Canis lupus familiaris: one gene and its partner. The protein of the gene in region 2 purifies or fractionates together with the protein of the main gene of each other region. This does not show direct contact. Links are inferred from orthologs where the notes say so. Each region holds a gene or a part of one and is shown on either strand. Other genes may lie near its edges.

The links. The genes of interacting proteins can lie anywhere in the genome.
Region 1: the proteins of H2AX (region 2) and USP48 purify together in Homo sapiens (affinity purification with mass spectrometry; 3 studies listed by BioGRID). This does not show direct contact. The link is inferred for Canis lupus familiaris from reciprocal best matches to the Homo sapiens genes H2AX and USP48.

What each region holds. Positions count from the first base shown.
Region 1 is NC_049223.1:76,790,555-76,794,834, reverse strand, and holds the start of USP48 (ubiquitin carboxyl-terminal hydrolase 48), read right to left. Parts: upstream 2,840-4,280; 5' UTR 2,711-2,839; coding exon 2,577-2,710; intron 1-2,576.
Region 2 is NC_049226.1:14,790,529-14,793,003, reverse strand, and holds H2AX (histone H2AX), read right to left. Parts: upstream 1,206-2,475; 5' UTR 1,103-1,205; coding exon 671-1,102; 3' UTR 514-670; downstream 1-513. Other genes in the region: DPAGT1 (UDP-N-acetylglucosamine--dolichyl-phosphate N-acetylglucosaminephosphotransferase), read right to left, coding at 2,392-2,457. UniProt on the Homo sapiens protein: Variant histone H2A which replaces conventional H2A in a subset of nucleosomes. Nucleosomes wrap and compact DNA into chromatin, limiting DNA accessibility to the cellular machineries which require DNA as a template.

The DNA of each region.
Region 1 (4,280 bases), on a different chromosome or scaffold from region 2:
TATACACCCAAAAGAACTGAAAACAAGTATTCTAATAAAAACTTGAGCCAAATATTCATAGCAGCACAACAGGCCAAATGGATATAACAAAAATGCTCATCGAGTTTATTATGGTGACATGTGTTTAACCACCCTGATCTTAGTACTCATTCCACTACATAGGTCTATCAAATACACTTTAAAAACAGGCAATTCTGGGGGATCCCTGGGTGGCTCAGCGGTTTAGTGCCTGTCTTTGGCCCAGGGCGTGATCCTGAAGACCCGGGATCGAGTCCCACATTGGGCTCCCTGCATGGAGCCTGCTTCTCCCTCTGCCTGTGTCTCTGCCTCTCTGTCTCTCATGAATAAATAAATAAAATATTAAAAAAAAAATAGGCAATTCTATTTGTCAACTATTTCTCAGTAAAGGTTGGGGGGGTTTAAGTCCATCAACTGATGAGTAAACAAAATATGGTATATATTCAAACAGAACGTTATTCAGCCACACAAAGGAATAAAAGTACTGATCAATAATACAACATGGAAGACAATGAAAAACAGGTTTCGTGAAAGCCAGACCAAAAAAGCTATATTGTAGGATTCCATTTATATGGAATATTTAGAATACAGAAACCCAGAGATGGAAAGATCAGTGGTTGCCCGGGGTTGCAAGGAGGGAAAGGCAAAGTGTAACGGATAGTCTCCTTTTATAGTGATGGAAAAGCCCTAGAACTACACAATGGTGACAACTGTACAACTTGTAATGGTATTTAATGCCACTTAATTATACATTTAGTAAGTTTTGTTGCATATTTTACAGACTTTTTAAAAGATTTTATTTATTTATTCATGAGAGACAGAGAGGCAGAGACACAGGCAGACACAGGCAGAGGGAGAAGTAGGCTCCATGCTGGGAGCCCCAGGCGGGACTCGATCCTGGGACCCCCGGATCACGCCCTGGGCCAAAGGCAGGCGCGAAACCGCTGAGCCACCCAGGAATCCCCCAAAGTCCACCTGTTTTATAATTCGATTTACATGAGATGTCCAAGACAGGCAAATCTAGAGGCAGAAAGTTGATCAGTGGTTGCTTGGAGCTTGGGGTGGTGGTGCACAGCGATGGGCAAGTGCCAACCTAACGGCTAAAGAGTTAGGGGTGCGGTGGTGGGGGGGGGTGTTCTAAACTAAGATTGTGGTGATAGCTGAACCCTGTGAATGAATATACAAATAAACACTGGGCAGTACATTTTAAATGGGTGAATCACGCAATATATGAATTCTATCTCAATGCCAAAACAACAAAACGACAACAACAACAACAACAAAAAAACCCCTGCTTGGATATAAACCTTGCAACTGCAACTTAAAACTGACATTATTCTTATAGTGGTTCCAGCCCATTTCTACTCCTTCACCTGTGTTTAAAAAAAAAAAATCAGGATCGCAACAGTGTAAAAGTTTTGTTGTTTTTTGTTGTTGTTTCTTTGGTTACTCTGGAATCTAATTACGTTGAGAAACTAACTGCAACTTCATACATTCTATTACGCACAGACTCTTGTCATGCCAGTACTTACTGTTGGGAGTCAGATGCGCCCTCCTAGCGAGCCGGACGCCCAGAGCTCGGAATTACTCGTTTGCCTTATGAAAGCTCCCTACCTGGAATCACTTCTCAAACCCGACTTTATAAATTCCAGAGCTGAGACCTTGGACTTCCATGCCTTCCGGATCCCGCCGCGGAGTGTAAAAACTCCAGAAAGCCTTTGCTAAACGCCTGCTGAAGTGAGGCTACTGAGCATGCCCGGCTCGGCCAAGTCGATTCAACAAGACATTCCAGAAGAAGAAAAAAAAAAAAAAAAAACTATAGTTCCCGCGTTAAAAGAAGGCAGAGAAATCCGAAGAGACAAGGAACAATGCCTGAGAATTCCAACTAAAAGGCAAGGCAAAGGTTCAAGGGGGCTGAGCAGACGTGAAGGGCAGAACCAACACAGCTCAAACTTCGAACTTGGGTCAAGTGGCGCACTCGGAACGCAACCCCCTGCCCCCCCCCCAAAAAAAAAGAAGAAAAAAAAAAGGGCTAAAACAGATGAACGGAGAGAGGGGAGGTCAACTGGGGGTGAAGGGTACCGATGACGTAGGCTGCCCAGACGTTTTTCTAAACCTGCCGTCTCCAAAACTAATACGAAGGTGACCAAGCCCAGCGTCCACAGTAATAAAAGATACCGGGGGATGAAACTCGCTTCCAAGTTCCCTTCCTACAATGGAAAAGGCCGAGCCGTGGCCAACATGCAACAGCCAACAACGTCTGCTAAGCTCTCCGCTCCTGCCTGCAACCATTTCCACCGCCATCTTCTAGATAAGAAGCCAGAACCTTTCCCAAAGGGCTTTTCAGCAGCATCACCTCCGAGCGGCGAGCCCGGGTCGCCCGGACGCGTCAAGGAGGAAGGAAGCCTCCGCCTTGCCCCCTCTCCGCGCCCGCTGGAAGCGCACAGCCGCCCGCCGTCCTCTCCTCGTCCTCTCCCCCGGCGAGACCCCCGGGCCCCAGCCCAGTTTTCCAAGGTCCGGAGCCAGACGGGCGCCAGGCCCCGGTGCGCCGGCCTCACCTGCACACGCCGCGGATGCAGGGCTCCAGCCAGATGCGGTAGGCGGTCTCGATGTGCTCCTGCGACACCTCCTCGGGCCGCACCGTCTCCGCCCAGCGCCAGGCCGCCTTCTCCAGCTGCAGCCGTGGGGCCATGGCCTTGGCCCGAGGAGCGCCTCCCGAGCCGGGCCGTCGCCGCTGCCGCCGCTGCCGCCGCCCAAGTGGGCTCCGCCACCTGCCAGCAACCGGGACCAGGCGATTCCTCAGCCAGCTGGCCAGTCAATCACCTGTGCGCGCCACTGCCGCCGCGCCCGCCCGCCCGCCCGCGCCCGACCCGCACGACCGGCCGCAAAGCGCCGCCGCCGACACCCGACACCCCCCGCGCCCGGAGACGTTGGAGGTGTACTCTCCGCCGCTGTGAGCGCATGCGCGTTCCCAGCAGCCTTCGCGCCTCCTCGCGCCTCTCGCCGGACGCGCCGAGAGGAAAAGGAAGCGGCCGCTCGAGCTAGTGTTGCCACGTCCTCACCGGCGCTGCTGGGGAAGCAGCGTCTCAGCTCTCGCACAGGCCAGCGTCCTGAGTACCACTATCCTAACGAGTCGGCGCGTCGAGAGCAAAAGGCTGCCTATTCTTGCTCTCTGCTACTTCCCCTTTAACCTTGAAGGAGTCACGCGAGAAGCTACTCAACGCACATAGGGCCGCTGGACTGCGGGGGTAGGACCTGAAACCGGGTCACCAAAAAAAAAAAAAAAAAGAGAAAAGAAAACCAGGGCCGGCTCGCTACAAAATGATTAAACTTGAGCCTGGACCGGTTCCGACCCCTTTCCCGAGCCCTCCTGACGTCACGGGACGTTCTGGCCTTTTCCTGAACTAGGGCTGGACTACGTTTCCCGGCGTGCGTTGCGTGCTGTCACTCACTGGACGCTAGGCATGCTGGGATTTATAGTCCTGGAGGTGGAGGGGGCTTCGGGTGAGGGCTGCTGGGTGCGGTTTTTCAGGCTGGGAGGGTCTTCTTTGCAGCTGGCCGACCCTCCCGGCTGCTGTTCTCTCTTTCTTGATGACTGCTTAGTACTTTCCTGAAGCTCCCGGGTTTAGAAACATTTCCTCTTTACAAGTCTTGCCCCAGGATATGAAGACTAGCCTCATCGAAGTGTTTTGCAAACTATTAAAAGCACTGCTAGAGGGAAGATTTTGGGGGACTTTGCATTTGAATGAGAGCCCGCCGGGGGTTTAAGCACTAATTACCAGCTGGATAACCTTGGACTTGATGCTTAAAGTGACAAACATTTGCAGAAAGCATGACGTAGATAAGACGTGGTCCCCGCCTTTGGGGGGTGGGCGAGGGGAGTGCAGTAGAAAGAGAGATCCCCTTATCAGCCTTGGAAGTTTGCAGGACTCGGGAAATGGCTTACCGGAAGACCTTATCTCTAAGTACATCTTTTTTTTTTTTTTTTTGTCTAAGTACATCTTTAAAAGTTGAGTAGAACTTAGCCAGGAAGGGGGGGGGGCGGGGCGGGGAAGGCACCATTACAAAAGGGAACCACAAAGAGAAAAGGCACAGAAGAAACTTCTTGGTGTCAGAAAACAAATTCTGAGACAGGGAGAAGTAAGCTATGAGAAGCAGGCTGAGACCTTGCTTTTATCTAAGAGATTCCTTGAAATGTTTAAAGCTGGTGAGAGATAAAAGTGCAGATTTGCATTTTGTACGGCTTCCTCAGTCTCAGCCAA
Region 2 (2,475 bases):
GGAGGCTCAGTGCAGATGGGGACGGTCGGGCCGGTGCTGGTACGGAGGTGCGAGGCCCGCGGAGCGGTCGCCGGAGAGAGCGGGCCGGGCGGCGGGGTTCGCGGGCGCGCGCCTCCTGCAGTCCCGGGGCCCGCGGGGCGCACCGCCCCTCCCCCCCTGGTGGCAGGTCCCCGCGGACGCGTTCGGCCCGAGCCGAGGGGGCGGCAGGGCGGACAGTGACGGGTCGTCCCCGCACCGCGGCGTCCGGAGAGTCCCGGCCCGGCCCGGCCCCGGCGCGTACCTCAGCCCTGCGTCAGCGCGCCGAGCGGCTCTTCCAGGCGGCGCCGCGGCCTCCCCGCGGCCCTCCCCGCGGCCCTCAGCGCGGCCCGGGCGGCTGAGTCACTGGCGCCGCGGCGGGCAGCGGCGCGCCCCCGGCCCCCTCCGGGCCCCTGCGCCGGGCGAGCGGGCGGCCCTCCGGCCGGGAGGCGGCGGGAGCGAGGGCAGGCGAGCCCGCGCGGGGGAGGGGCGGGCCGGGCGGCGGCGGCGGCGGTGACGACGCGGCGGGGGGGAGCCGAGCGCCGCGGCCGCCCGCCCCGAGCCCGACGTGGCTCAGCTCTTTCCGTGAGGGCGGTGGTGGCCCTTAAAAGGGCCTTTGTGGTGGCATGGGGGCCGGCTGCGGCGCGGGCGCCCCTCAGTACTCCTGAGAGGCCTGCGTGGCCTTCTTGCCGCCCGCAGGCGCCTTCGGCCCCACGGTGGCGCTGGTCTTCTTGGGCAGCAGCACGGCCTGGATGTTGGGCAGGACGCCTCCCTGCGCGATCGTCACGCCGCCCAGCAGCTTGTTGAGCTCCTCGTCGTTGCGGATGGCCAGCTGCAGGTGGCGGGGGATGATGCGCGTCTTCTTGTTGTCGCGGGCCGCGTTGCCCGCCAGCTCCAGGATCTCGGCCGTCAGGTACTCGAGCACGGCCGCCAGGTACACCGGCGCGCCGGCGCCCACCCGCTCGGCGTAGTGGCCCTTCCGCAGCAGCCGGTGCACGCGGCCCACGGGGAACTGGAGGCCGGCGCGCGACGAGCGCGACTTGGCCTTGGCGCGGGCCTTGCCGCCGGTCTTGCCGCGGCCCGACATGCTGCGCGAGGTAGAAGAGCTGTGAAGAGGGACGCCTCGAAGGGGGCAACGAACAGCCGCCCGCCGCAGTCCAACTGCTGCCGCGCGCGCCCAGGGGCCGGCCTTATAAGCCCCCAGGGCACACCTCCGCGCCCTCCTGATTGGCTCTCTCCTCGGGTACCCGCCTCCGGTTGGTTGCAGTTAACCCTTCAGTGACGCGCCACGGCCGAGGCAGCGCGCCCGCCGATTGGTCCGATTTGAAAACCTTTTGCCCGGGGAAAAAGGCGAGGAGGAGTGGTAGCACGCAGCCGGCCAACCCCTCCCCGATGTAGCCAATCCTTGCGAAGGGCGCCAGATTTAAACGCTACAGCTGGAGCCCAGAACCGGAAGGCAAAGAGGGTGGAGTCTGGGCCACCTCGAGGGCCTCTGGGAAACCGGTGCGGGCCCGGGATTTTTAAAGGAACGGGGTCGACACCACTCCCTTCCCTTCCTGGTCTGGTCATTCTTCTCTCCTTTCTCCCTCCTCCCATCCTGCAGAGGGAAATGAGAGAGGGAAGAAATGGGAACCCCTCCCGCTGCTCCCCCTAAAAACTTCTGTTCGGCACCAGAGAACAGGCAAGTCCAATCTTAGGGCTCTCCCTGCCACCTGAAGTATGAGGATTTCAGGGCTTATTCAACATGTTCTATTTGGTCTGTTCTTTCTGTTGACTTCTTGTTACAAGGAGCCCACTGTGCTGAAAGAAAAAAGATGGGCAGAGGGATAGGCATCCTCTTGGAGGAGGTACCTCCACCAATCCTCCCGATCTACCCTAAAATGCCCAAAATATACTTACAGGAACACCAAGAAAAAGACAACACTTTATTGTCACCACTGGGAGCACCTGGCCCCCCAATCTGCTCTTACGAATCAGAATACTTAATTTATGGTCAAATAATCAAGTGATCTTCGAGCCTGTGTCCCTCTCCCCAGCCAGGGTTCTATCCCCAGGCCCAACATATTCCTCGAGAGTCCGAGTGGTGGATAACTGCATAAAAAGCACAGTATCCCACTTTGGGAGGCCGCAGGGATGGGATAGAGAGGGAGAGCAGCAAGTTGAAGAAAGCCACAGGCAAAGTCCAATCAACAGTCAGTACAGGGCAAGACAGGCCCAGGATGTCGATCACAGCGGAACGGAATCGCTAAGTACAAAATCTGGAGAAAAGTAAGAGGTGAGAGAGGCCTGGGCCCGGAAGCTTGCCTGGCCCAGAAAGAGGCAGGCCTGAGTCAGGAACCCTGCAGACTATGCAGTGAAGGGCAAGGATTGGGGGACTCAGACATCGTAGAAGAGCCGGACAAGCTGGTACCGGATGGAGAAGGTGACAGCACTGCCAAGGATCTGTGAGGAGAAAGAAAC